Macaca fascicularis: one gene and its partners. The protein of the gene in region 3 interacts with the protein of the main gene of each other region in a pairwise test. Links are inferred from orthologs where the notes say so. Each region holds a gene or a part of one and is shown on either strand. Other genes may lie near its edges.

What was found.
Region 1: the proteins of UBE2E1 (region 3) and RNF111 interact in a two-hybrid assay, tested with the Homo sapiens proteins (2 studies listed by BioGRID and IntAct). The link is inferred for Macaca fascicularis from reciprocal best matches to the Homo sapiens genes UBE2E1 and RNF111.
Region 2: the proteins of UBE2E1 (region 3) and CNOT4 interact in a two-hybrid assay, tested with the Homo sapiens proteins (2 studies listed by BioGRID). The link is inferred for Macaca fascicularis from reciprocal best matches to the Homo sapiens genes UBE2E1 and CNOT4.
Region 4: the proteins of UBE2E1 (region 3) and ZNRF2 interact in a two-hybrid assay, tested with the Homo sapiens proteins (2 studies listed by BioGRID). The link is inferred for Macaca fascicularis from reciprocal best matches to the Homo sapiens genes UBE2E1 and ZNRF2.
Region 5: the proteins of UBE2E1 (region 3) and ZNRF1 interact in binary tests that used the Homo sapiens proteins (3 or more experiments, as listed by UniProt). The link is inferred for Macaca fascicularis from reciprocal best matches to the Homo sapiens genes UBE2E1 and ZNRF1.
Region 6: the proteins of UBE2E1 (region 3) and RNF25 interact in binary tests that used the Homo sapiens proteins (3 or more experiments, as listed by UniProt). The link is inferred for Macaca fascicularis from reciprocal best matches to the Homo sapiens genes UBE2E1 and RNF25.

What each region holds. Positions count from the first base shown.
Region 1 is NC_088381.1:35,459,126-35,464,053, forward strand, and holds the start of RNF111 (E3 ubiquitin-protein ligase Arkadia), read left to right. Parts: upstream 1-1,497; 5' UTR 1,498-1,904; intron 1,905-1,949; exon of another isoform or gene 1,950-2,240; intron 2,241-4,928. UniProt on the Homo sapiens protein: E3 ubiquitin-protein ligase. Required for mesoderm patterning during embryonic development. Acts as an enhancer of the transcriptional responses of the SMAD2/SMAD3 effectors, which are activated downstream of BMP.
Region 2 is NC_088377.1:177,181,191-177,186,428, forward strand, and holds the start of CNOT4 (CCR4-NOT transcription complex subunit 4), read right to left. Parts: upstream 3,273-5,238; 5' UTR 3,059-3,272; intron 1-3,058. UniProt on the Homo sapiens protein: Has E3 ubiquitin ligase activity, promoting ubiquitination and degradation of target proteins. Involved in activation of the JAK/STAT pathway. Catalyzes ubiquitination of methylated RBM15.
Region 3 is NC_088376.1:24,464,139-24,468,128, forward strand, and holds the end of UBE2E1 (ubiquitin-conjugating enzyme E2 E1), read right to left. Parts: intron 3,288-3,990; coding exon 3,140-3,287; coding exon of another isoform or gene 3,021-3,139; exon of another isoform or gene 2,652-3,020; intron 1,867-2,651; coding exon 1,769-1,866; 3' UTR 1,073-1,768; downstream 1-1,072. UniProt on the Homo sapiens protein: Accepts ubiquitin from the E1 complex and catalyzes its covalent attachment to other proteins. Catalyzes the covalent attachment of ISG15 to other proteins. Mediates the selective degradation of short-lived and abnormal proteins.
Region 4 is NC_088377.1:99,987,342-99,992,266, forward strand, and holds the start of ZNRF2 (E3 ubiquitin-protein ligase ZNRF2), read right to left. Parts: upstream 3,512-4,925; 5' UTR 2,751-3,511; coding exon 2,291-2,750; intron 1-2,290. UniProt on the Homo sapiens protein: E3 ubiquitin-protein ligase that plays a role in the establishment and maintenance of neuronal transmission and plasticity. Ubiquitinates the Na(+)/K(+) ATPase alpha-1 subunit/ATP1A1 and thereby influences its endocytosis and/or degradation.
Region 5 is NC_088394.1:70,818,227-70,823,129, reverse strand, and holds the start of ZNRF1 (E3 ubiquitin-protein ligase ZNRF1), read right to left. Parts: upstream 3,124-4,903; 5' UTR 2,482-3,123; coding exon 2,058-2,481; intron 1-2,057. UniProt on the Homo sapiens protein: E3 ubiquitin-protein ligase that plays a role in different processes including cell differentiation, receptor recycling or regulation of inflammation. Mediates the ubiquitination of AKT1 and GLUL, thereby playing a role in neuron cells differentiation.
Region 6 is NC_088386.1:114,598,964-114,604,180, forward strand, and holds the start of RNF25 (E3 ubiquitin-protein ligase RNF25), read right to left. Parts: upstream 3,149-5,217; 5' UTR 3,117-3,148; coding exon 3,076-3,116; intron 143-3,075; coding exon 68-142; intron 1-67. Other genes in the region: STK36 (serine/threonine-protein kinase 36), read left to right, coding at 3,977-4,060, 4,777-4,917, 5,031-5,108. UniProt on the Homo sapiens protein: E3 ubiquitin-protein ligase that plays a key role in the RNF14-RNF25 translation quality control pathway, a pathway that takes place when a ribosome has stalled during translation, and which promotes ubiquitination and degradation of translation factors on stalled ribosomes.

The DNA of each region.
Region 1 (4,928 bases), on a different chromosome or scaffold from region 3:
CCCCACCCAGTCTGCTTTCCTCGATTATTATTGTAATTATAAAATCATTTGTGTTTTTTTTTTTTTTAATTGAGATGGAGTCTCACTCTGTCACCCAGGCTGGAGTGCAGTGGCACAATCGTGAGCTCACTGCAACCTCCGCCTCCCAGGTCCAAGCGATTCTGCTGCCTCAGCCTCCCGAGTAGCTGGGGTTACACCCGCCACGACGCCCGGCTAATTTTTTTGTATTTTTAGTAGAGACGGGGTTTCACCGTGTTAGCCAGGATGGTCTCGATCTCCTGACCTCATGATCCGCCCACCTTGGCCTCCCAAAGTGCTGGGATTACAGGCGTAAGCCACCGCGCCAGGCCTTTTTTTTTTTTTTCTTGGAGACGGAGTCTCCCTCTGTCACCCGGGCTGGAGTGCAAGGCTTGAGCGTGGCTCACTGCAACCTCCACCATCCTGGATCAAGCGATTCTCCTGCCTCAGCCTCCCGAGTAGCTGGGATTACAGGTGTGCGCCACCACACCGGGCTAATTTTTGTATTTTTAGCGGAGAAGGAGTTTCACCATGTTGGCCAGGCTGGTCTTGAACTCCTGACCTCAGGTAATCCACCCGCCTCGGCCTTCCAAAGTGCTGGGATTACAGGCATGAGCCACCGCGCCTGGCCAAAATCATTTGTTTGCTGAACGATGTGAAGAATATGAGTGAACAAAAAAAGTACTGAAAAAGATGAGTTGATGGCAAAGGGAGGGAATTAATGTTTAGTGCACACTTAAGTGGCGAGTAATGTTCAGAGCATTATATAAACTGTCTCATTTAATCTAACAAGAACCTTTTGAGGTCAATACGTTTTCCCAATTTATAGAGGAGGAAACTAAGATTTATAAGGATCTCATGAATCAGAGAACTCTTAAGTGGCATCACTGGACTTTCGAAAGGAAGTCTGCCTGATGGACTCTAAGGCTCATCCTCTGTCTATCCTCCTAATGCATATAATGACGCATTTGTTATCTACTGACTTTTATAAAATAAACAAGGAGGCTTATGCGATTGTACAGCCCGAGTTCGCAGGAGGTATCTGTTACCACTTTTGATCTGATTCCGGAAGCATTAACAGTGAGGTGCCCTGATCTTTATGTAATTAGCGCATATGATATGGGTATCATTTGTTGTGAAAGACACTAACTCATGATGTTTCTGTTTACGTGTATCTGTAAATATAGTAATTTCTGTGGTTGGTTAATTTTTAGTTACGAAAAAATGAACCAAGATGTAGTCAAGATTTGGCTTAAATGTTGAACGCATAATTACCAAAGAAAATTAAATAATGAGCTTTGTGACACCTTTCAGTTTCGCCAACAGACTGATAAAACCAGTACAAAGGGGGAGGGTCGGGACCGAGGGGGCGGGACGGTGAGAAACGGGAATCGAGCAAGCGCAGAACCAAACAGATGTTAATGGAGGCGTGAAGGCTACTGCGCTCTCACTTTCCGAACTGTCGTAAAGGCCCCTAGTGTCGTGCTCTCCTCGGTAGGGGAGGAATTGGTTAGGCGGCGGCGGCGGCGGCGGCGGCGGCGGCGGCGGCGGTAGGGGAGCAGCGGCAGTGGCGGCGACGGCGAGGAGGTGTTCGGTCTGCGCAGCGTAGAAACGCCCGCAGCTTCAGAGAAGGAGTTCTTGTGGGACCAAATTAGGCATTCTGAACCCACGCCGGCTTAGCTGGGCCGAGTCCAGGCGCTGCCGCACGTACAGTTTTGGTGGCGGTGACAGACACTGCTCTTGACTCTAGGGGCCTGTTAGGCCGACGTCTGAGGCGCAGATCGCTGGCTCTCGACGCATTACTCTTTACGCCTTACATTTCTGTCTTCCTTCCTGGGTCAGTGATTCCCGGACCCTGGAAGAGAAGAGGGTGGCTAATGATTAAGGTGAGGGGAACAGGGGGGAGGGGATCCATTGGAGGCCGCGCGTGCGCGCAACGGGGGAGGGGCCGGCCTGGAGGGGAGAAAGAGGAAGGGCTGCGGCCGCGGAAGGCTGGGGTCGGCGACCGGCCGGTTATCTCTGGCTCAGTGGTGATTTAGGGTCTGGGTCTCCGCAGACGATTTGTGTTTGGGCAAGGCTTTCGTCTACCGACACACCCACAGCCTACATTGAGGAAGTGTGGGTGAGGGGATTTCTCTCCCTCTTCCGACTCTCCCTAGAGTCTCAGGATGGGGGCTGAGGACCGAGGCGTAGGAGTGCGATTTGACAATGGAGTGATGAAGGTAACCCGGACCCGGGGAGTTGGGGGGCGCTAAGTCAGCCCTGACGGCTAGGGAGCCGCCTGCTGCTGCTGTGATCAAGGAAACGTAGTCCGCGGAACAGCTGAAATACAGACGCGTCTGATTTTGTATGGAGTTGTCTTGTTGGTCATTTAAAAAGAAGCTGAATGTTTTTACTATTGTCCTTAGATAATTTATCAGAGACAGTGTCAGTGCTGTAGTGGGAATATCTGTTCAGTGCAGCAGAAATAGATTTGTCACAACAGTTCTTAAATAGGTTATAGTAGATGTTTACAGAGGGTATTTCTCAACCCAAGTGTAAGTTTTGATTATTCAAAAAATACCAGGAAGTATAGGGTATTCATTTAATTTGTTCATGTGTATAGTGTGGGGTGACTCCATTGTATTGTTGTAAGCTTTCCTGTTTTTTGATTTATGTGCGGCATTAATGTAGAATTCTCTTGAATGGTAAGATGCCAACTGACATAGACTACGTTTTGTAGGAGTTCCTGTAGCTTTTGAACCTGACAATCTAAACTTTATTTCATTTGGTATTTTATTTATAATTTTCTTGTTTTAGGGGCCTCTTCAACTAAAAAGAACAAACTGGGAAAAGATAAGCTAAGGTTCCATTTCCTTTCTCATTTTTGTTTTTTTTGTGTGTGTGTGTGTGATGCTTGTAAATGCTTGAATGTGATTTTGAGATTACCATACACAAGTTCTGTAACACTGGACTTAGCTTTATTACAGTAAAGATACACCTTTTGATCGTTTGTTACTGTATGTATTTTTGTAAAAATCTTCATGTCAATATAAGCCACATTGTTTCACCCTAGTCTGGTTATGTTTGTGAGGTAAAACAGATGGATAAGAAGGAGGTCCTTTTACTTTTAAAATAATTTTATGTTGATTTTTTTTAAAAGCCTTGATTTATCTTATTTTGGACACTTTCTTGCCATTTAACCTTGGACAGATGACTATCATCTCTCTCCTGCTCATTTGTTTGTGACCAAAGATTCACAATAGTATTCTAAGAATTGATGAGGGTGTTTGTAAATTGGTCTAAATAATATTATAGGAAAAAGTAGGAAGAGTGAGTCTCCCCTTGTTTATCACGAGTGCTATATCATGTGCAGATCCTTCTGTCACTTTTTAACTTTTGTTTGGTGTCTGTTGGCCACATGTTTGCTAGTTATTTCACCTGACATAGAATTGGTTTTTAAAGAAAGATATAAACAAAGTGACTCCATTTTGGTGAAAAATGCATTACAAAAGAGGTTACACCTTAACGAATTTCACTGTGGTACTCCGTTTCTACAGATTATTGAGAGAGAGCTATTCTAATGTTTAAGAGAACAGTACCTTGCTTGTATAAAGCTAAGGTATAGTCATTTAGCAGATACTCCTAGTTATTTTACTTTAAAATAAAAAATATAAAAGAAACTAATTGAATCAAACCGTTTAGATTTTTAGATGCTTTTGTTGTTGTTGTTGTTATAGTTTAAAGAGGGGTTTCTGTATTATGCTTTACTTGAGGCATACTTACGTGCCCTTCTTTTGCCTTTTTCTCCCCTTTTGGGCTAAGACTTCAGTAGGAAATAAAAGAGACTATCTGAAAAATGATAGAAGTTAAAATATGTTATAACCTGACATTAACATTCTATGGGTAACATTATCTTATGAAATAATATAGGACTAGAGACAGAAGATCTAGATTTTAGATCTATCTTTGCTTGCTATACATTAGATCCCCGAGTTTATTGTTAACCCTCCTTGGGCTTCAGGTCTCTCTGTTTAAGTGAGAATTGTAGAATAGATAACTGGTTTTCTCTAGGTCCCAAATCTAACGGTTTGTATATCTAGTTAGGTTTTTGGTATTCGTTGTTTTATTCTTCGTAATCAAATCCCCGGAAAGAAATGCTGTACAGAAAGCATCAATTTCCTCATGAAATGTGTGTGTGTAAAACCTATGATGAAACTGAGGGCCAGGTGTGGTGGCTGACCCCTGTAATCCTAGCATTTTGGGAGGCCAAGGCGAGTGGATCACTTGAGGTCAGGAGTTCGAGACCACACTGGCCAAAATGGTGAAACCCCATCTCTACTGAAAATACGAAAAATTAGCCAAGCTTAGTGGTGTGTGCCTGTAGTTCCAGCTGCTTGGGAAGCTGAGGCAGGAGAATGGCTTAAACCTGGGAGGCGGAGGTTGCAGTAAGCTGAGATCGTGCCACTCACTGCACTCCAGCTTGGGCAACAGGGCGAGACTGTTTTTCAAAACAAACAAACAAACTATGATTGTTGTTCCACATATTATTGTTATTGTTGTCCCATTGTAGATATTAATTACTCAAGCTTTAATAGCTTTCAGATGGTACTAAAAATGAAATTTTTTATTACTCCTGGTAACATTTTAAAAATCATCCTGAATAATTTGTTTTTCTTTCAGAAACCTGTAATTATTGTTCAGTAAAAGTCCACAATTACATTTGGATGTCTTAAACCTCTGTTTGCTTCTTTCCTACATCCTACAGATTCTTGGTAACAGCTGGCTCAGGTTTCTACAGGTACTCAATTTATGTCATTACATGAGGAGTGAATTACAAATGTTTAAAGACAAATACTTAGCTGAGGCTGGGGGCGCTTGCTTATGCCTGTAATCCCAGCACTTTGGGAAGCCAAGGCGGGTGGATCATG
Region 2 (5,238 bases), on a different chromosome or scaffold from region 3:
GAGTGAGACTTTGTCTCAAAAAAAAAAGAGAGAGAAAGAAAAGAAAATTTAATATTTTTCTCACACAAAACAACAAAAAGATAAATTTATTAAACTGAAGAATATAGATTCCTTTTAAAGCCAAGAGTAGAGTGGGGAAAAAAGGGAAGATTTCTAAATCCAAACTGCTTAAACTGATAAGATTTTTTTTATTCCTTTAAAGCACACAAAATCATTTTTAAAATAAAACTCCCTTAAAGCTAGGAGTTCATCCTCTGGCAACACCCTCTTTCTTTAACAAAGTAATGAGTTGCAAGTTATCGCTAGTACTCCCTTTTAGACTCAAGTTGAAGGGCAATACAAAAACAATTTTATTTTTCTGTACTTCGTTATTTGAGTATAACTGTCTCATCCTAATTTTATAATAGGCCAACTTTAAGCGATTCATATTCGAAACATTCTTACAGAAATAATCTATTGATCTCAAGAATTCTACTATTGAACCTGGTAGAAAGTATTCCAAATTATCAAAAGAAACCATGAAAGTATGAAGCTGTAGCGTTCATAACGTTAGATCAAAAAACTTAAACCACACAAAAATATTTAGAAATCTCAGCTCCCTATTTCTTATCAAAATACTAAAGAACTTTAGATGTCTTCTTTAAACGTACTAAAGATACAAAAGTAAATTCCTTTTGACTTCAGAGGGCCGAAATGAAGAATTCGGTAACTGCAAGCAAAAAGTATGAGGGGAGAAAATTACTTGAGAAAATATTTCGTGAGACAAACACCATTTAAAAAAAAAAAAAAAAAAGACGTATTAAAATCATTTACTCCCTTCTACCAGACAAACAGTCCTCTCCTAGAACTCAACTGCTTACAATTCAGCCAAGTATGATTGCCAAGAGTTTCTAAACCTGTGTTAGGATTGTTCAAAGTGGAAAGCTTCTCCACCAGTGTATTACAACAACAAAAAGTATATTTTTTAGAGTTAAAGATCAACAATTAAATACACTCCTCTGATAAACTTAATGTAAGCGATTTAAAAAAAAAAAACTCAAGTTGTAACTTAGGACAAAGTTTGCTATATAAATTGCTTGCAGTTCTAAGAGTATTTATTTGGTCCCCCAAATTGGGGCTTAAGTGGCTGAAAGAAAAAAGTTTTATAGACAGGTTTTCTAACCTTAGTTTACATTTGGTAAAACAGACCATTTATCACAATCAAGTGAACATAATGCCAAATGTTAAGATTCCAAATTTTACAGGTAAAATTTGTAAAAATTACAATAACCCACTAATGGACTGCCACATGAGACTGTCACTGATGTTCAACATTTTTACATATATCTTAAGAATGCAATGTCATGTATGTCATGTTCAAACTTGGGATGTATGTATTTGCACTATGTAATCCTGGTTGCTTTTCTGGTAATTCTTTATCTCACAGTGGTCTGATTATAGCCAGGGCTGCTTCTTCTCATTATACCATTAGTCAGTATATCTTAATTTTGCTTTCACCAAAACATGGACATCATAAGCCACCTCTTGCTTCTAGTTTTCTGCTTTTTACTGTAGATAACAATGACAGTGAGTTCTACCAAATGCATGTATGTGCACAGCTTTGTCATTCTTTTCCCAGCCCCCTTCTTTTCTATGAGAAAAATACGAGAAACTTAGGTTTATATAAAAACATCGATTTTTCTTTTGCATACATACCTAATGGATTTTCAAGAGAAGACAATTTATTCAGATAACTATCATCCTAGAAATGTCAAGAGAACTTCCCAAATCCAAAAATAAGAAGTAAATCTGATAATAACTGGAAAGGAAATTTCCACTCAAATCATAAATAAAATGTCATCAATTAAGCTGAACATCAATAAAACTCAGTCAAAAATCAAGTCTCAATACAGAACCCACATATAACCCACATATAATCAAAATATCACTTATATTTGCTGGCGGAGTTCACAGATGAATTCTGTATGTGCGCCAAATTTATCTTATTTTGAATTGCTGGGGTTAATATTAGTATAAATCAGAGCCCACACGAAGTGTCCTGGGCAGAGACAATCCAAAGAACGCTTAGTAGCATGGTAAAAACCGGTCCAAAATGAAAAAAAAAGAAAAGAAAAAAGCCACGTCCTAACACAACAGAGCGAATAAGCGACAAATAGATCACTGAAAGCAAAACGAAAACGGTCCCCTCCGGAGTAGACTGAATAAAAGATCTTTACTCATAACGTTTAATACTATCCGACCTCACTTCATTCACTTCCCAACTTCCTTTACTTTTCAAGGGCCACCACGGGGCATCCCTTTTTCTGGAAGTGTATATGGAAAGGATCTGTACAGGAAAGAGGGAAGGAACGGACAATTCTCAAGAAGGCTAAGAAACAGGTGGGTTAGCAGGAGCAGAAGCATAATCTAGACACTTAAGGGGCAGCTTTAAGATGACAGATGTGGTGGAAGGAAAGACTGCAAATCGGAAGAAGCCCTAGTGTGGCAGATACACTGTGGGCTGATTGCAAGCACCAAAGGGGGGCAAAGGCTAACTCCAGAGTGGTAGCAGTGGAGCAAAAAACAAGCAGCAGGACGGGTGGGCAATGAGCAGTGGGATTAACGAGCAGCAGCAGCAACACGGGTCAGAGTGGAAGTGATGGCTTTGGTCTTGGGAGACGGGGGCCAGTGGGAAAGGACGTCAGACAGGGAATAGGGGGTTGGGGAAACAAGGAGGACTGAGACCTAAGAATCCTGCCCCTATGAAAATGCAGGGGGCAAAGCTGGAGACCAAAAGCCGCCTCGGCTCCCCAATTAAAGAAATTCTCGAAGGAGAGTCGCTGCTTGCCGCCGCGCTGCCTTCTGACCCGCTCGCTTTTCCTGATGGTAACTGCTGTGGCGTAAAGAGGAGAGGGAGGAAGAGGAGGAGGAGGAAGAAGACCAAGGAGGAGGAGGGTGAAGATGAGGCGGGGGGTGGGGAGAAAGGGGGGTGCGGCCTGTACAGTCCCAGCGAAGCCTCCGCTCTCTCGTAGCCGGTCAGCCCCGGGTTTCCCCTAAGCCCAGCCCCGCATAGACTCACCCGCCTGCCTTGCCTCGCTTTTCCCTCAGCCGACTCCACGCGCTGCCGCGTCCTCACAAGAAACCACCGAACGAGCGTCGGGGAAAAAACTCTTCAGAACCGGGCCTGATTGCTTCAGCGAGTCCGACCTTTACGGCTGAGAGAGAGACTCTCAGCTTTCGGTGGGTTCCACAGCCAGACGGGCCACCATCTTACATTAGGGTAAGACTCCTCCGGCCTCCCGTGCGCAGGCGCACGCCGATCCGGCCAGGAGGGGCGGGGGAGGGGCGGGAGGAGCGGCGGGCGGCTGAGTGGGAGGTTGCGGTGGCCGCTCCCGCAGCACCCTGGGAGTTGGAGTCCTCGGAGGGTAACCGCCCAGGGGCACGCCGGGAGTTGAAGTCCTCTCTCAGAGGGCGGAGGAGATCGCCCACCTCACGTGGCTGCTGGACTGAGCCTTTCTTCGTGTTTTGCTTCCTTCTCTGCGCGCGTGTGCTACTTCAATGTCATTTGGTCGGCGGTTTTCACTAGTCATTCTGTGTCCTCGGTGTTTTTGGAAATGTGCGACCCCAAGACTGGGGCGAGGCTAGACAATTTTTCTGGGAGCCCGGAATGTTTCTTCTCTGCCCCGCCCACCAGGGATATCTAAAGGGGGCGGGGTGGAGGTGGAGGCAGGTTGGGGGTACGAAGAGCGCGGGATTTGATCTAGGGTAAGAATTTGATACAGACTTGGCGTCTGTTTGCGAAACAAGGAGGAAACAGACGCCCGTTTAATTCATTTCCCTGTCCTTGCGCATTTGGGGGCCACCACCCTTGATACCTTCTTCACTGTAAAATCGCCGGTGAAGAAATATACTAAATTGTTCTGTGCAGATTACCCAAGAGAACGGAAGACCCGTGCACTTACAATAACGTGCTTCGGTTGATGTGAATTTGAGAATTTGCAGACCTCTGTGCGAATTAGTGTTAGTTCGCTGTCCTGCCAGCACAGCTGTGTGCAAGTTGACAAACTCTACACACATCGGCACATCCCCAAGAACAATGAATGCAGCCACAATCTCTACGAGCACTGAGGAATCATCAGTCACAAACGTCAGTCAATGTACTGGTCGCTCCCGTTTGCATCCCAGAACTCTGGTGAAAGCGGCGCTCGAAGCAGTAATTTTTGCTTATTGCATGTATTCTTCACCCACTCATACAGCAAATACTCAATGAGCTCCTCCTGGCCGCCGGGTACTCTTCTATATATTGAGAACACAATGGTGAGCAAAATAGAAAAAATTCCCTGTCCCCATCCTAGTGATATGTTGGGATGAGGAAGAGGAGAGAGGAGGCATTTTTTAAAAAATACGTGATTAAAATGCATAGTATGTCATAACCGATTTTAAAAACTTAGGAAAGGGGAGTAGGGAAAGAGGTTGCAGTTTTAAATTTATGAACTCAATGTCATAAGAAGAAGCCCTCATTTCTTTTTTCCTTTTTTTTTTTTTTTTTTTTTTTTGAGATGGAGTTTCTCTCTATCTCCCAGGCTATAGTGCAATCTAGGCTCACTGCGCTCACTGCAAGATCCGCCTTCCGGGTTCACGCCATTCTCCTGCCTCAGCCTCCCAAGTAGTGGGACTACAGGCGCCCGCCACCAAGCCTGGCTAATTTTTTGTGTTTTTCAGTAGAGAAGGGGTTTCACCGGTCACCCAGGCTGGAGTGCAGTGGCGCGATCTCGGCTCACTGCAACCTCCGCCTCTCGGATTCAAGCGATTCTTCTGCCTCAGCCTCCCGAGTAGCTGGGATTACAGGCACGTGCCATCACGCCAGGCTAATTTTTACATTTTTAGTAGAGACAGGGTTTCACCATGTTGGTCAGGCTGGTCTCAAACTCCTGACCTCAGGTGATCCGCCTGCCTCGGCCTCCCAAAGTAGTGGGATTACAGACGTGAGCCACTGCACCCGGCCTCATTCTTTCAATACATTGGTTTTCTGTGTTTCCGTTTCCTCACTATCAAACCTAGAGACAACAGTTATTTGGGTAAAAATTAAAATATGTAATGAAGTCACATTTTACCCAAAGTTTGAAATTATAGAATCATGAAATGATTACCTAGCAAGGAAACTTGGGAAATTATTTGGATTTCCCTTTAGGTAATTAAATGCCTAAACATTCAATATGGTTGACGTTTTTATTTAAAATGTATGTTTATTTTTCTTGT
Region 3 (3,990 bases):
TCCTCTTGAAAATGATTAGGCACTTAAGGACAGTAAAGCTGTATTTTCTGGAAGGAAGACTGTATCTTCTGGAATAGTTTTCTAGAAAACTAGTCATATACAATGAAAGTATCAAAAATACTGGGCTCTAGATGGTCTAACTTAGATGTATGAATTTGTGTTGTTTCTCTAAAGATTTTGGCAAGACTTGAGCAATGTGGCTGATTGTAACTTTATTAATTTAAAAGGAAGTAAGCAAGCTAGTGGTTTCATCTGTGAAATAACTATTTTGATTGAAATGTAAAATAAGCTATTCAGCAAAGAACATATTAAAACATCAAGTAATTTGTAACATCTTAAATGGAATACTTTTTTTCATGAGCTCAAGTGAAGAACTACTACATATAAAAGACAATACTTATAAATCAGCTATTGCTGCTACAGTAGAATTCTTCAAAATTTCTCATCATAAATTCATTTTTTTTGGTCAAAAAATTACCACTCAGACACTAACTCACCCCTTACCTTTTCCCCCAGTTATTGAATATTAATCTAGCTTTTCCCTCCATACATGTTACATAGATGGACAAATGCTTTCATAATGATTTTTAAATAAGTACCTTCCAGTTTGTTTTGTTTCCTGCTAATGCAACTTAGTCTATATTAGTACAGACAGAGTTACCAATTCTTTTTAAATTCTGTAATGAAAGACACACAGAAACAGCACTGCTGGGTCATGCCATGTGTATACTTAGGTACTGCCAAAATGCCCCCTACGGCAGTGTACCAGTTTATCCCTGACAGAACCCATTTCCCATGTACTTGCTACTACAGCATCTGCAAGTCAGAAAACGCTTTAAAAAAAAATGCAGTAGGGTTCGTCTTTGAAGCCTAAATGGGGTAGATTATTTAACCTTGTCTAGGATACCTCAACATCTACAGCTGTGTAAAGTACAGATCCTAATATGGGTAAATAATACCTACTAAATATGCATTATTTTTAGCTTGTTTTAGAAGCAGATACCTATCGATTTCAGAAGAATCTGCAAACAGCAACCAAAAGGCAAAATAAAAGTAAATGAACACAGCAGTATTAGGCGGTTTTTAATATTGTTTATTAGCACAGTAACAAATGCAGACTTAAGTAGTCCACAACATATAACCAATCCACTGAGCAACTCCTATTCCACGCCTTACAGTTAACAGCTTAAGGTATTTCACTACAGGTTTTCACAAGTCCTGATTTAAACCTTTTTTAAACAAAGTAGATTGGCATATAAAATAAAACACATTACTCATCTCCTATATGGTGTCTTACAGCCACGTGTCCATTTTATATATATGAGATGACAGTCTCTAAAAACTCTGTTAAATATCAATGTTCCCTTCCAAGAAGGGAAAACAAATTCCAATTTTGTTTTAAACAAAAAGTATGTAGTCTTAGAGGGACTTTACATAAATGGCCATATGTGTAACCTGTACAAAATTAAGCTGTTTTAAATTTACAGACTACAAGCAACTGAACCCAAATGTCTAAATGTACATTCTTTTCTGTACTAAATTTCAGCTAATATTGCAGAACTAATGACAATTTTAAAAGTTGCTATTACCAATTCTGTCTACTGTAGCAAGATACCTTAAGTTACAACAAAATCTTAGGAAATAAGACTGAATAATATCTGTTATAGAAATACCCTACTCTTTACCAACTCCCACCCTCCCTGACCCCTTCAGAATCATAAGCAGCTCTCTTCTGTGACAAATAATGTAAGAATTGTGAAAACCCAGTTTATGTAGCGTATCTCTTGGTCCACTGTCTGGCCATTCTGTCATGTTCTGCTCTGTTGGTCATATACTGAGTGGCAATACTTCCCACCAAGGGGTCGGCTGGAAGAAAAGAATGTAGATTACTTTGGAGAAAGGAAAAGAACATTTTAAACTTTAGCAAATACATTAGTGACAGCTTGGGCAGACATGTACAACCAAGTATGTGTGATCAAACCCATCTTCGAAACACCACTCCACTATGCCGGATATTTTTCCATCAAAAATTTAAAAATCGTAACATGGGAGGAAGAGGGAATGCTCAGGCTTTAGTTTACTGGTCTGTCTGTATCTTAGTTCATTCCATTTTTCTCCCAATAAACACCACCCGATTGGAGTTTCTTTACTCTTATGTGTTAGGCTGAGTTCAGTGGAGACTGGAACGGTCAAGGCTCCAGACTACAATGAACATCCAACTGTGTTGATGTGACCCTTAGCTCAGTGTCACCAGTTATGGCATTGTGAATACTGTGAAGTCTTCGGGGCTGTTGCAATGCAACACTATTTACCTTTACACTGGTTAAAGAGCCAGGTTGCCAGGCAAAACCTGGACCTCCAATTAAGTATAGTATTTCTCTGAATCTTAGGATCTTTAATAACTAAATTTATATTTGGTTTACCTAGAAAATAAATAATATATGTGTGTATATACACACATATATATATTTATATATATACACACTTTTTTTTTTTTTTTTTTGAGACAGGGTCTCACTTTGCCACCCAGGCTGGAGTTCTGTGCAGCGGCATGCTCATGGCTCACTGCAGCCTTGACCTTCTGGGTTCAAACAATCCTGCCACCTCAGCCACCCTAGTAGCTGGGACTACAGAAAAATATTTTTTAAATGAAATGAAGTCCCAAAAAAGTCACAATTCAGTAGTCACTAAGTATTTAACAAATACCATTTTCAAAACTGAGTGCCATCTCAGTGACCAGCTATGGGCACATGCCCACTGAACCCCACAGGCAAGGTGAGGCTTGCCAGGCAGATGACTTGGCATTTAGAAGTGTATGATTTGTTTTATAAGAACTATATGGGAAATTAAGCAACAGGAAAAAAAAAAATAGAGGGAAGAATAACTGAAACTGTAAAAGCCCAAGGCAAACTTCGTCTTCAGTTTAAAATACCTTGTTGCTAGAATATACTGATTAATGAAGTTGTATGTCTCAACTAGTAGACTGAACTTCTCGATTAAAACTTTCTTTGAAAAGCAGATTAGTTTTTATATTCATAAAGTTTTGCAGAAAAATTAGTTTTGTCCTTTGAAAGCTTTTGGAAACAAGTACTTTTCAGGTGAGGAAGAATAAAACAAGGTAAAGAATTATTAACCTTACCAGGATTACAGTCTGTAAGAAGTGAGCAGATAGAAAGGAGGACTTTAGAAATGGTTAGTGCTGGACTCCAATTATCTTTCAATATGTCCAAGCAAATAACACCTTGACTGTTAATATTACAATGATAGATTCTTGTCCGAAATGTAACCTAAGGAAAACAAGGAAGTGTCAAACAATAGTTAAAAAGCAAACACACTTTTTACTAAATACTCAACTGAATGACCCTAATTAGAAAGAAAGAAAAAAAAAAAAACTCCCAGATAGGTAGTTTTTAAAAAGGTGAATAAAAGCAGTTTTAATTAAAGCTGTCAAGAAGATAGACTTGTTTAATAAATTTGATTAGAAAGTGTTCACTGACCATCTCAGGGACTGTGTCAATTTCATTTAAAATGTTACGTCCCCTGATGGTAAGTTCAGTACTTCCTAATTTTATCTTTAGCAATTTTAAATCTTTTAAATATTAACATTTCCAAGTCTGAATAGGTAATTGTTTGCTGACCTCTTGTGCTAGCTGGTAGTACTACACTGCCTCAAAGTAAGCTTTAAAATACTTAAAAGCTTTAAAATATTTAAAATCGTAAGTCTCTCTTAAAAACTGAAGTGCAACATAATAGGTACCTAAAGATAATTAAACAACATACTTAGCAAACAATGACTACACCCAAAAAGCTGAACAAAATTTGAAGAGAAGTCTACTTCTGCTTTTTTCTGACCTTTACATCAGGTCCCACAGACATCCTGTCTACCTAAATCACAGAATTTACTATCTATGTAATCGAGTGTCCATGGATGCAGAGCCAGTAATGGGCAAGGACCACAGCAGAACACAAGCCACATGAGCAGGTGTTATT
Region 4 (4,925 bases), on a different chromosome or scaffold from region 3:
GTCTAATTTTTTTAATTATGATTCTTCATCTAGCTCCCTAAATCTCAAGATGATGAGAAACATGCTTCTATTATTTTCCTAATGACCTGTCCACTAAAATATAGGTAAAAATCTCAGTAAAGCACGCCACTAAGATGGGTTTTTACATAAGTGTATTCCATCTCCCTGTCTCAACAAAAATTTCAGGATGTGGCACTTTCATCTGATCCTGTCATATAAGAATAGGTAGTTTCTCCAATCCCTTTCCAGCAATTCTCAACTGAGGTTCCTCATCTGAATCACCAAACACAGGAAATTATTTCAGTGACTGTTTTCTCAACTGTTCCAAGAATGATACATAACTAAAACCGTCCTAAATGCACTGGAGCTAAAAGTTAAAATGCATTGCACACTACAGCACAATTCTCTCCACAAAGCCGGTTGAGACACGCTGCTATAAGTTCCTCAGAAACTGTCACTGTACTACTAGGTCCCAGTCACCCAACCCCAACAGCACTAAAAGAACTATAGTGAGTGCACAAACCTAGAACTTAGATAAGAAAAAAGATAAATGCTTTATCTCCAACTTTAAGCAACTAGGTATTTTGATTTACTCATTTACTAGGAAGCATGAAGCTCAACTGTTTGTCCCTTGCTCTGAACGGAATGCATTTACTTAACAAAATAAACCCACAGAAATATAATGTTTCTCAAAGGGAATTATCAGCTCTTAGAAAATGAATTTTTAAAAATGAGCATATTAAATAAATATTAACTATTAACTTGACAAGGCTTTTCCTATTCACCCTTCTTTAGCAAACTTAAATATTCACCTTCTGATAACTGCTAAATGCAAATTTTCACTTTAAAAATATAAATATTAAAAACCAGTTTGCTCTTCAATCTCACACTAATCACCAATTCTCAGAAACTGCCTTTTATATTCTTCAATGTGGACTACAGCAACTTCAACTGGTAGGTTAGTTGTGATCAAATCACTTTAAGGACACCAGTAGATTTCCTTTACTCAAAAGCAAATGACTTTTTAAAATGGCCCAATTTTAAGAGGGATGCATATTTTTAAGCAGCAAAAATTACTTTAAAACAAGGTAGCTAATTAAAAGTCAAGCATCATTCCATATTGAATGTGCAAAGCGTTACTAAAAGATGGGAAAAATTAAACATGACATTCTTATTTTTAATTTATGCTGGCGTGTATGCTGATAGTACAGAACATTAGAAGAGATAAATTACTATGTATTCCACTTTACTAAGTCTCCACTCAAAGTTCCTACGTTTACAAACACATGAGTAAAAGAGGCACAAAAATGTAGGGGATGCTGTTTTCGCTGCTAATCTGTGCTCAGCTGCGAATTCTTCTAATATCGGATGCATAATGCGATGAAATGGGAATGCTTATCTTCTATATTTGTATTTATTTTCATAAATCGGGGAGGGGAGGTGGTCTTGATTCATTTACTATTAGCGTTTTGCAATAAAGTAGATCAGCATAAAACACAACTGAAGAAGAATTCATTTTCCCAGGACAATGCACCCTTCCTCCTGTTTCTATAGTAAAGCCATCTTTTGCTATTAAAAATGCCCATTTTTCACAACTGACTTTTCCTTAACTCTAGTCAACACTGCTCTTCAAAAGAACCTAGTAGGCTGATTTGCAAAATTTTTACTTCCTTAGGAAATTTTTCCATTTTCTAAATGTTTTCCAAATTAAGTAGGACTCACATTAACTGTGACCTTAAGTAGCGGTTTAGTGAGGTTTAAAAACAAACTTTTCATTAACGCATTCATACAACTAAAGTGACATAGTAAGTGGGACTGACACAGATTTAAGGATTATAGCTTTATATTAAAAGTCAGTCCAAAGATGGTAACTCAGCGTTCATTCGAGACCCTTTGACTTTTGGCCTTTAAAAACTGTTCCCCACTGAGTCCCCAGACAGAACTACATTTAGCAAAGGGTCTCCTCCTGACTTCCTGGTACTAAAAGCCACAACCACAAGGGCTGTTTCGTCTGTTTGTTGTAAAACAACATTTGCTCCAGTCATCTCTATGGAAAACAGACTTTCTCTACCGGGGAGCCGCTGAGGTGAGGGTGCTCACGATGTTTAAAAACCAAACCACGCGTCTACGCGATAGCGGCACCGCAGGAGTTAAGTGCCGGGGGTTTCTTCCCAGGATGGAGACCTGCCCCGCCGAAGGAGAAAAGGAGAAGGGTAAAAATAGCCGGCGGCCACGACCCACGTGCAGCCGCGGGAGGACCGAGCGCGGGCGCGCGGAGAGGGGTCCGTACCTCCAAACATGTGCGGCGAGAGGTGAGCTGGTAAGGAGCCGATCACCAGGCGCGGCCCGCCGGGGCTCCCGCCCACCGGCCGGTCCCGGCCGCCGCCGCCGTCTTCAGGGCTGCTGTGCACCGAGTCCTGCGAGCCGTAAGGGCCGCTGCTGCTGTTCGGGATGCTGAAGGAGGACTGTGCCGCGCGGGCCCCCGACGCCACGCTCCCCACGGCCCCGCCGAGGGAGCGGCTGCGCGGAGCTGCTGGGGCCGCCGCGGCCGCCGCGGCGCCGCCTGAGGCGCTGGGCTGGTGAGCGCTGGGCACCTGAGCCGGGAACCTCCCAGCCGCGGCAGCCCGAGCGCCCCCGCCGCCGCCCGCGGTCCCATTGGCCCCTCCACTGCTACTGGAAGGTAGATCCGAGCCCGAGTAAGCGCGCGTGCGGCCGTTAGCGGCGGCCGGGCCGCTCTGCTTGGCGCCCATGTCCGCCCTGCCCTGGGCCGGGCCCGCGCGCTGCGCCCCGAAAGCCGGGAGGGCGGGAGCGAGCGCAGGAGCTAGAGGGCAGGGCCGAGGCGCCGCGGCCGGCCCAGAGAGGCCCCCGCACGTCCAGGGCCGCCGCCCGGCGCCCCGAGGGGCAGTCGGCGCCCGGCGCGCTCTTCTCGGGGCAGTAGGCGAGGCCGGCGGCCTGACGCGGGCGCAGGAGACGAAGAGACGCGGAGAGGAAGAGGTCCCGGCGGCTGGCACCCCTCGCTGGCTCCAGCAGGAACGGGCGGCTCAGGTGGCCGTGCGGCTGCCGCTGGTTTCGGTTCTGGTGCGCCACGACGGGCTGCTGCCGCTCTCTGCCGCCGCGCTCGGCGCCCCGGGCCTCGGCACCGCCTCCTCTCGGGCGGCCGCTGCTACCGCCGCCATCCTCCGGCTCCCACGGCGGCTGGCGGCTGAGTGGGAGGCGCCGGCCCAGACTCCGCCGGGGCCACCTTCCCTCCTCCCCCAGCCACCCAGCTGTTATTAACGGAGAAAGAGGAAAAACGGGTGGCGCGCGAGGGGAGGACGAAGAATGGGAGGGAGGGGTGGCGCGCGCTTCCCGGCAACCGTCTCCTCGCTCCCCCTGCGAAGGAGGGGCCGGACTGGCGGGAGGATCTGGGCCGCGAAGGTGGGGGTGCCCGAGAGGGGAGGAGGTGCCCTGGCCCTCGCGCCGGAAGACCGCGGAGCGGCGCGGCGGCAGGGTGCGCCCAGCCCGTGTGTTTGGGTCGCGCGCGGTGACCCCGCCCCCGCCCCCTCGCGCCGCCGGGCCGATTGGCTCCTGCCGGCCTTGCTCCGCCTCCCCTGGCCGCGACCTGCCCGCCCCTGCTCCGCCTCTCCAAGGTACTGCGGTGTGGTAGGTGCTGCCACCCGTGGACTCGGTGATGGACAGGTGTCTGGCCCCGCCCCGCCAGCCAGGGCGAGCCCGTGTCTTCCTCGCGGGGCCTACGCTGATAGGAGGGACGGACACCCGGCGCCAACCAGAAGGCGGCCCCTCCTCCCGCATGTGGCCCGCCGACGCTGGAGGAGCCTGTGTCAGCTGCAGCTTTTCCTGGCAGGGGGCGTGAATGGCTGTGTCCTGTGCCCAGAGCCATTTGGTTTCGGTGGGTGTTGGTGTTACACACTGATTTAAAAAACAGAATCTCAAAAGCCAGCTTGATCTGAATTAGACTCACTCGTGAAACACCAACCTGGGAGGAAGCGCAGAGTTGGAAGAACTCGGGATAATCCAACTTGACCTTCCGTGGTAGGGCAAAAACCGTCGTGCCAGGAATGCTGCACCTGACTCACAAAACCTAAGATCTAGGCCCAACACCAAACTAAATTATGTGTAGTGAGCAAATTATTTTACTTTTTTGGACTTCAGGTTTGTTTTTGTTTTTGTTTTTGAGACCGAGTCTCTTGCTTTTTTGGACTTCAGGTTTGTTTTTGTTTTTGTTTTTGAGACCGAGTCTCGCTCAGTCACCCAGGCTGGAGTGCAGTGGTGCGATCTCGGCTCACTGCAACCTCCTCCCGGGTTCGAGCGATTCTCCTGCCTCCTCCTCCAGAATAGCTGGGATTACAGGCGCGTGCCACCACACCTGGCTAATTTTGTATTTTTAGTAGAGACAGGGTTTCACCATGTTGGCCAGACTGGTCTCGAACTCCTGTCCTCAAGTGATCCACCCGCCTTGGTCTCCCAAAGTGCTGGGATTACAGGTGTGAGCTACCGCACCTGGCCGACTTTTTGTGTTAAATCCTAGGGCACCTGCATCTTTAAGATCCTATAACTTCTCTAAAATTGAATGTAATAAAATTCTCTTCAGTGCATTCCTCGGTGTTGGTGTGGTCTCTTCACGGCAGAGTGGGGTCTGGATACCCAGGGAATAGCCTGCTCTGAGACTCCCATTTTGAAAATGTCTAGTCTCTACTTGAAAATAATAGCAAGTGGTGTTTTATGAAACTACAGAAATAAATACTTTGCCATTTTTCACTATTTGCAATAAGTCGTTTATGTAATGATTTTCATCACTCTTAGGGTATGGGAATCAAGTTTTTAAACAAATGGAGAATATATGTATACATATAAAGACATGCATCGTGTATCTATGTACACAAACACACATATTTAATGGAAAAACAAAGGTACTCAGTGCTTTA
Region 5 (4,903 bases), on a different chromosome or scaffold from region 3:
TGGGAGTTCTTGGGGACATTTTGGGGTGACACACTGAACTGCTGGATGCTATCAGCATTTAGTAGGTGGGGCCAGGCATGCTCAATGTCTTGCAGAAGGACATGATGGTCCTACACAGTAAGGAACAGATTACCTACAATATTAATAGCAGCCTCCCATACACGCTTTTGACACCCTTCCCCAAAGGATTAATGTGCTCCAACTTTCCTGTCCCCACAGTTCAGTGGCTCTCCCTACTCTCACCATAACAGGATGAAAAAAAATAAGCTTTCACAGCTTAGGACTGAAATTCTGGAATCCAATTATAAGCTCATAACTTTAGCATGGAACCTGGCAGTAGCATAATAAATAAATTTTTAGTAAGAGACAGACTGAAGAAATTTCAGCAAAAAAAAAAAAAAAAAAAAAAAACTCCCTTTCTTCCTCCCTACATATCTCATATTTTTCAACACACAAAATTCTGTGATTTTAGAGAAACTTCGTATAGTGCTTTTAAGTTCAAAACCAGATGCTCATTACAGTTCTTTTAAACACCTAACCAGTCATCTCAAAAATATGGCTAACTCTCTGAACTAAATTTCATAGGAAAGATTATTAATTTCAAAATGCCTAATTTTGATCAAATGCCTGAAAGAGCCAAAGGCAATCATGTTTTGCATCTCATTCAGGTCAGAGTTCGATGAGGTCAGAAAAGCTCCAATGATATCCGGAGGTCTGTTCAGAGATTAAAATATCATCCTAACAATTCACAAGCTACTTCTAAGGGTTACCCTAAATTAGTCACTAACAGTTCGTCCCCCAACTCTATTTCACATAGTTTATAGAATTGACAAAAAACCGAACCAAATGAAAACAAACCCCAGGATATTTGCAGGGAGGGGGAAAGCGATACCCCAAAAGTCAACCCTATTTCACAGTAGGTAAAACAGTGATCCACGAGATATTACCCTCCATAAAGTACCCTAAAGGCAGGAGCAATCTTTCCCCTACACAATATCTAAATTTTCCCAACTCACCCAAAAGAAACTTAAGATGTAAGTTATTCACTCAACTTGCCAATTAGCAAACAGCGGCCCCACACACCTTTTGGCCAATTTTCTAGAAGCCTGACCTAGCAGACAGACCTGTTTTCCTCCTGCCAGGCCTTTTTAGCCCTCCCAGTAGGAGCCTGGGAAATCCCCCTCCAACCTTTTGCTGGCCTGTCACCAGAAGTTCATAAAATGAATTCATCCAGATTCTCTGAATCCTCCTTTCCCCCAGTCATGTGCCAACAGTCAGGCAATAATGCCCCACCTTGACAGGCTCCCTGTTACAAAAAGATGCAGATTCACGGGAAGACCAAGCACTTAGCATGGAGCAGAAGAAAAAAGATGGAGGGAGGTGAGAGTCGTGGAGCCAAGTCTGCTGCATGCAGTACGGGTGACCAGAGCCCTGGTCCTGCAAAGCCCCCGCGAGACTCGCCGGCTGGGCCCTCCGTACAGCAGCCACACCTGTCTATGCCAGCCGCCTGCCGGCTGCTCCATTTTAAACATTTCAAACAGATCTCCAGCAGGGTGGCAAAACTGGGCACCTCTCTCTCCCAGCAAGAGTGAGAGCCCTAATCCAGGCATCACTCGCCCCTAATTTTATTTCATTTTCATACTCTCTGTTTTGGAGACACTGCTTGCTCCAACTGGCTCCATCTCTCCGTTACTGGTGAGGCAGGCACAGTGCTGCAGTGGCAGAATGGAAGCACCCAGGCTGACTTGCTCTCAGCCAGAGAAGACCGCTTCTCTGAGGAGGGAGATGCCAATAAATGGGACTCCAATAGGTAGGCTTCGCTCTGCCCTTCCACAAGTGAACACACGCCGGGAGTCCTACATCGCCAGGCTCCGCAACCTTGCAGAAAGCCTAGTTTCCAGAGGGTAGGTATCCCATTCATCCCTTGGCATCGGGAACCAAAGGGAAGGCAGACAGATCCCGGTCGTGCACTATATTCCCAAACCTTGGCACGCGCGCGAAGGCTTGGGGCGCCCCGGCGCGCCCTCCCTCCGAGGCCTCCACCACCGTGGACTCACCACTGTGCGAGCTGAACCACCTGGGTGCGATGTGCAGAGGTAGAGCATCCGCCAGCGAGGCTCGGGAGCCCAGGTACAGCATCCCGTCTCTATGGTGACTGCCGCCCGTCTCCTGGTAACCATTGCCATGGGCATAGGTGGAGTCGGACGCGGACCCTCCGCCGCCGGGCGCCCTCTCAGAGTCGCCGGTGCCCCGGGAGGCGGGGGTGTAGAGGCCAAAGGGCACCCCCCCTGCTGTGCTGGGGTCCATGCCCATGCCTGCCACCGAGCTGACCGAGCGGCTGCGCAGCCCCATGGCCCCGCCGCCCGTCCGGTAGTGCCCGAAATGGGGCGCCCCTCCCGGCGGCGGCACGGCGCTGTCATCGGTGGAGACCCCCGGGAAGGGGCCCCGGGAGCGGGTCGCCGTGCTCTGCTTGCCCCCCATGCTCGCCCGGGCCCCGGTGGGGCGGGAACCTGGAGGCCGAGACCCTCCCCCACTTCTCAGCAGCGGGGGGAGGGCTGGGCGAGCATAAAGAGGGAGGGAGTCAAAAAGGAGACCCGAAGGGAGAAAAGAAAAAAGCAAAAGAAAAAAGGAAAAAACCCGCGGGGCGGAAGAGGCAGGCGGGCGGACGGGGATCCCAAACTCAGAATTTCAAACGATCCAAGCCAAACGCACGTTTCCCCTCAAGGTCCAAAGAGGCGCAGTCCGGCGCGGGCTCCGCGCGCCACAGGCCGCCCCCGGGCTCCGAAAGCCGGGGGAGCCGCAGGGAAGGAGGGAGGGAGGCGGCGGCGAGAGGCAGGCGGGCGCGGGGAGGCGCCGGAGGAGGCCGCCCGCCCCGCGGGAGGAGGAGGAGGACCGGGGGCGCCAGGCGCGTCCCCCGCCTCAGGACGCCGCGACCATGGACGGCGGCCCGGACCTCTCCAGGCCTCGGGCGGGCCGCGGCGCTGGGCGGCCAGGCGCAGCTCGGGAAGCCGCGGTCGCGTCGTGTCGCGCTCTCGCTTCAGTCGCCGCCGGCCCCGCCAGCCGCGCCACCCCGCTCGGTCCCGGGCAGCGCTTGCCGGCGCTCCTGGCCGCCGTGGAGACAATGGAGGGCGGCAGAGCGCAGGCGCGGCCTGCGCCCCCTCCCCCTCCCCCCGTCGGGTTAACCCTTTCGCGGCCCCTGCGGCGCCCGGGCAGCTGACGCCCCAGCAGTCCCCACCCACCGCCCGCCCCCGGCCGGCCTGTGACCTGGGCGGCCTGAGCCACTGGGCGTTAGCCACAGAAACCAGATGTCTTTGAAAAGCAAACACTTCTTAAGTCCCCGAAAATGGCAAATTATTCAGGGGGAACCACGTATGGGGGAGGGGCAGCAATGGTTCGAGGGGGTGGGAAGGAAACACCGGGAAGAAGGAGATTTACTCCTTACGCCTACCTGGCTCTGAGGGTCACCAGTCGAGCTCCCCTCCTGGCACAAATTTGCCCCCACAGCACCCTCTGGTGGACGTGATGTCCATTCTTTCGGGGGTTCCCCATCCAAGCACCCCTCAGGTCCGGAATCTCAACATTTGGCGGGGTTTAGCTATTTGGGGGTAAACAGCGCCATGGGGACACTTGTGAATCCGGAGTGTTGCTGACACTAGGTCAGAACTTCCTATTTTGGGCTTAAGCAAATGAGTAGATTCCTTAGCTAAAATGTAATTTTCAGAACCAATAGAGGTACCATAAAATGTGAATAGATATGGATATGGAAATAGAACAACGTAGCTAGAAGTGATTATAGAAACCTTCTGTCCAAGGTTGGAGCCCTGTTTTGTTTACCATGTTCTGTGTTTCGGCCTACACCACGGCCAAGGACACGGTGGGTACTCAATAGGTGTATTGTTGACCAAGCCTGCATCATTTTGCAAGGGAGGGTTCCTTTGATACCTCAGTCCGTCTTTCTCTCCTATATTCACATTCATTCAGCGAACAATTGTTTTTCTTTTTCTTTTTTTTCTTTCTTTTTTTTTCTTTTTTTTTTTTTTTTTGAGACGTAATCTCACTCTGTCACCCAGGCTGGAGTGGAGTGGCCTAATCTCGGCTCATCGCAACCTCCGCCTCCCAGGTTCAAGCGATTCTCCTGCCTCAGCCTCCTGAGTAGCTGGGATTACAGGTGCGTGTCACTGCACCCGGCTAATTTTTTGTATTTTTAGTAGAGACAGGGTTTCACCATATTGGCCAGGCTGGTCTTGAACTCCTGACCTCAGGTAATCCGCCCGCCTTGGCCTCCCGAAGTGTTAGAATTACAGGCGTGAGCCACCACACCTGGCCTGTTTTTCTTTTCCTTTCTTTCTTTCTTTCTTTTTTTTTTTTTTGAGATGGAGTCTTGCTCTGTAGCCCAGGCTGGACAACCTCCGCCTTCCAGGTTCAAGCAATTCTCCTGCCTCAGCCTCCTGAGTAAAAGTCTGTTAAAAATTTGAAAATCAGGCCAGGACATGGTGACTCGCTTGTAATCCCAGCACTCTAGGAGACGGAGTGGGGCGGGGGGCGGGGGGGATCACCTGGGGTCAGGAGTTTGAGACCAGCCTGGCCAACATGGTGAAACCCTGTTTCTACTAAAAAACTAAAAATAGAAAATAAATACATTAGCCAGGTGTGGTAGCTCACGCCTATGGTCCCAGGTACTTGGGTAGCTGAGGCAGAAAAATGGCTCGAACCCGGGAGGCAGAGGTTACAATGAACTGACATCACATCACTGCACTCCAGACTGGGCAACAGAAAGAGACTGTCTCAAAAAATATATATACGTACATACATTAATATATAGTAGAGATGGGAGTTTCCCTATGTTGCCCAGGCCGGAACTCCTGGCCTCAAGCAGTCCTCCCACTTCAGCCTCACAGAGTGC
Region 6 (5,217 bases), on a different chromosome or scaffold from region 3:
CAGATTCGGCATAGAACCTCTCCTCATTACTAGGGGGACTCCTGCCCACCGCTGGTTGAATACATACCTGCCATTTCCTTTAATCACCTGTAGTTCATCCAGATAGATGGACTCCAACACTTCAACTTCAGAGGGAAGGACCCTAGAGAGACAGGAGTAGACTGACTTTCCATTACAACTCTCCCTGTGGAAGCCTGCTAAGGCCAATAAACGCGGGCTTTGTAGAAAAATGGCAATCTACCAGAATGCATTTTCCTGCTAAACTCCTTAAAAACAAGGAAAATGTTACCTTAAGTTTTCAACTGGCCAAATAGGAGGCACAAAAATCAGAATTTTAAGCATTATTTCTGCCAAGAGATGAAGAAGTGGATTCCAGAAAAATAAAATGACTAACCAAGGCTTAACATAGGTAGAACTGGGCCCAGAGTCGGGTTTCCTGACTCCCTGTTTAAGTTTCATTCCCCTTAGTGGCTGACTTTCTGGTCTAGAGGTATGGCACCCATTTACTAGCATTAACGTTACCAATATTACTCCAGCCTTTCCCTACATCAATGTCCAGTGTGGATCCCAGTGCCTTGGCTACCGTCTACATACACTTTTAACACCAGTCACCCTAAGCCTTCTTAAAGGAGATAGCAACCTCAACACAACAGGTCTAGGGTGGTGTAAAGGCTGTGTTGTAATGGAAAAGCCAGCAGCCTCGGAGTTAGTAACAGGTACCAATCACTTACAAGCTATGCGATCTGGGAAGTGACCTCTCTGTAAGCTTAAGTTATCCTGTCTATCACATATAGATGATAACACCTACTCTCTAGGGTTACTATGAGGATAAAAGGTGATTTGTTTATATAAAGTACCTAATAGTATCTGGGCTATAGTAGCTAGTCTACATCCTCTTTTTCTTCCCGTCTGTATATAACCTTCTCCCTTAGAAGGAAGAGGGAAGGAGGGAGGTAGTAGAGTACTCTGGATGTATTTATGACCCTGGCTGTCTGGTTGATCTACATCAGCCTGTTGAGGTTAGCATCCATGTTCCGATGTAAATCAGAGGACACACATGCTTAAGCATAGAAACAGTAGTTGTATTGAAATTGAAGCTGAGTGATCAGTTTGTGTCTACAGCTCTACCAGGTGATACATGGAAAAATGCATACTTTCCTTTCTCATACTGCTCTCTCTTCATTCTAAGAGTAAGGCTGCTCCAGCATGACTTATGTCAGTTGTTGTTAAGTCTTAGGCAGAAACTTCAAAATATAAAATACAAAGCTTTACACCTCACAGAAAATAGTGTAGTTTTGGCTGACATGGGATGGGAGTCTCACAGCACTACAGGCTGCTGCACTCACTGTTGTTCTCTCCATGGCTCAAGGTGTCTCCCCTGAATCTTAAAAGTTCCCCTGAACAGGTCAACTATAAGTTATCCCAGCACTTTGGGAGGCTGAGGTGGGAGGATCACTTGAGGCCAGGAGTTCGAGACCAGCCTGGGCAACAAAGCGAGACTATCTCTACAGAAAATAAAAAATTAGCTGGACACAGTGGTCCCAGCTACTTGGGAGGCTGAGGCAGAAGAATCGCTGGAGCCCAGGAGGTTGAGTCTGTAATGAGCCATGATCTTGCCACTGTACTCCAGCCTGGGTGACAAAGTAAGACTCCGTCTCTTAAAAAAAGAAAAGAAAAAGTTTCCCTGAACACTTTGAAAACCAGTAGTCTAGATAGTCTTAATAAAGGCCAGTACTAGCAGGGCTCCCTGAACCAATGTAACACTGAGGTGTAGCCTCAGTCAAGTGGCCCTTCAATACTTTGCCTACCCTAGTTATGTGGGTCCTGGATGGGATGCTGGTAAGGTGGTGACAACAAAATGGGGGAGAGGGGATTGAAGAATGTCCTAGTATAAAGAATCTAAGGTGTGGAGTCAGATAGATGTGGATTTCTAGTCGCAATTTTCCACCTTTTGGCAAATCACTTTACTTCTTTGGGGCTCATCTAATCTTCCCAGGTGCCTGCACCTCAGTTATTAATGAAAAGGAGGCCGGGTGTGGTGGCTCACGCCTGTAATTCCAGCACCTTGGGAGGCTGAGGTGGGAGGATCACTTGAACCCAGGGGTTCAAGACCAGCCTGGCCAACATGGCAAAACTCTGTCTCTACAAAAAATACAAAATTAGCTGGGCATGGTGGCACAGACCTGTAGCCTCAGCTACTTGGAAGGCTGAGGCAAGAGGATCACCTGAGCCTGGGGAGGTTGAGGCTGCAGTGAGCCATAATCGCACCACCGCACTCCAGCGTGGGCGACAGTGAGACTCTGTCTCAAAAAACAAAACAAAACAAAACAAAACAAAAAAACAGACTTAAGTATATTACAAATCCATCGTGATCCTCTCAACTATTCTGAGGTAAATACCACACCCACTTTGTTTTTACAGCTGAGGACACTGACTCACAGAAGCTAGATGGCCTGGTCAGCATCACACAGCTAATAAAATGCGGAGTTAACCCACATTGATCCTACTTCCAAATCCCAGAGTCCTTCCATGTTCTAGTCTTTAGTTAAGAATGCTTGAGAGAAGGACTAGAGGGACTTTATGTGAGGTGTAAAGCTTTATTCAGACAATAGTCCTCACTAGTGCTGTGTGGGAGAGAGAAGGTTGAGGAAAGCGTCGGCGGAAAAACGCTGATCCAAGGAGAAAGGGGTACCGAACCGGAGGGCACTAGTTCTGAGAGGCGAAAGGGAGATGGGGAGGTCTGACGGGCAGGCATCCCCCAAAGCCCCTGAGAAAATTCATTTGAGGAGCATAGAAAGGGATAGCGTGAAGCTGGAGGAAAGGGGATCGAACCGGATAAGGCGAGGCCTGAACTGGTCTGGCGGGCGCAGACCCGGTCTCTTCTCACTCAGATCAGCGCCCCTCCACCCTCCCGTTCCCCAGTCTAGAAGATCTCCCAGAGGAGATGTCAGCATCTCTGCCATCCCTCATCCTTCGCTCCACCCCACACGCCCGCCGTACGGACCGTCTGCGACAGCTGCTAGGCCTCTGGACTAGATCCAGACTGTCAGCCAAAGCCCATGCCCCCGAAGTTACCAGTCCTCCTCCCCTGCAGCTGCAGACGCAGACGCCGCCATGTCTTCACCGGCCCGCAGCCGGAACCGGAAATGCCCTTAGGGAAGTCGGAGGCGGAAAACTAAGAGGGGTGGGCAGCTAGCGTCGTTTCTAGGCAACCGCAGACTCCGGGTCCTTAGCCGGGCCTGACGGCCCAGAGGCAGTTCGGATGCGTCCCAGGAAGTGCCCATGTGTGGTCCGCCGTCCCTCCCACACCTCTGAGCGCCTTTGTCCTCTGAACTTCTCACCAGTTCTAGCGAGTGAAATTGTTAGAAAGGGAGCCAAAACAGACTGGCGCGAGGGGCGGGTGGAGAAGAATTGTAAGTCAGGCAACGTATGCAGGCAGCCAGAAGATATGGGGCTAAAGGCCAGGGAATCCGTCCCTGGGCCTGAGGAGCTTGGATCTCCTAGGCTGGGGATGAGAGAGGGACCCTGGCTTGCGAAGCGCATGGGCCAGGGGGTCTGAGAGCAGGTGCTGAGGAATCTGGGAGTGGCAGGAACTTGGGGGAGACTCGAAGGAGCAGGGTTGGGTGGGCGATGCTAGGTTAAGAGAGCAGGGTCGAGTGGGCCAAGCTGGGTGAGGGAGAAGGGGGACCAGGTGTCAGGTGGGCATGGGGCCGGGTTGGGGACAGGAGGCTGAAAGTGGAGAGGAACTACAAAGAGATGCTGTGTTTGTTCCAAGATCGCATCACCTTTGCGTCATTCTACCCTCCCATGTTTTTTGAGGCTTGGTCTTTGTGAAAAAGAGAAAAGGCAAGGTGGCTAACATTTTTCCTTTCCCATGCCCCAACTAGGCCTCCCAGATGTTGTGGAATTGTCCCTGGATCTATAGCTCTTCACCGTCTCTACCTTTTTCCTTCTAAGAGATTCTGAAACCTCTGTCATGGAAAAGTACCACGTGTTGGAGATGATTGGAGAAGGCTCTTTTGGGAGGGTGTACAAGGGTCGAAGAAAATACAGTGCTCAGGTATTGTACAAAGAGGGATACCTTTTGGGTGGGATTTGGTACCCCCAACTCCAGTGGAAAATGGGTCTAGAAGGGATGTATGTATACCAGTTTATATTCCTAAGGCATTGACTCTCTCATACTTCTTATGGAGTATAAGCTCTGAAGTTGTATTATTTGGGTATAAGTTCCATCTCCACCGCTTTCTAACCCTAGAATTATGGACAAATTACTTAACTTCTCTATGTCTCAATTTCCTCATCTCTAGAATGGGGATAAGAACAGCAACTGATTGATGGCATTTGAGATTAAGTATGTTGTCACATTAAATCAGTTAGTACAGTGCCTGGCTCTTAGTAAACAACAAATATTATTATTATTAGTCTCTAGCACACCATGTAGTAAGAGGTAAACCACTTGAACTCTATTATTTCCTCTTAATTTTTTTTCCTTTCCTTTCCCCTAAATCTCATCTTGACTGCTTTGGTCAAATCAGAACACTTCTCCTAGAAGGTGAGATGTTTTGCCCATGCTGTTTCCTCCTGGGATGAGGAGTGGGGAAAGCCTGGATACGGCCAGGGTACCATGGAGAAAATGGAAGCGGGAGACTGACAGAAATAATAAGAGTTACTCAAACACTCTAAAGTCTGACTTCTGGAGCTCTGAGATTAAGTCTGAAATTCTGGCTCTTTTCAGTAGTGTGATTAGGCATTAACTTTTCACCTTACCACTGACAGGTCGTGGCCCTGAAGTTCATCCCAAAATTGGGGCGCTCAGAGAAGGAGCTGAGGAATTTGCAACGAGAGATTGAAATAATGCGGGGTCTGCGGCATCCCAACATTGTGCATATGCTTGACAGCTTTGAAACTGACAAAGAGGTGTGCTTTGACAGTTTTGGGCCCTGTCTCCCCAAGCACAAGGGTTCCAGGAATTTCCCAACCTCAGAATATATGAATCTGGAGCCATCAGTGCCACTGCCTTCTCTCTGTAGGTGGTGGTGGTGACAGACTATGCTGAGGGAGAGCTCTTTCAGATTCTAGAAGATGATGGAAAACTTCCCGAAGACCAGGTATGCTTCCTGCCTTCAACTTCCCACCACCAACCTCTCTCCAGGTTAGGAACTGGTAGAGCAAGCTAAGGACACTGAGAGTCTCCATTTCTTCTCAGACTTCTGAGAA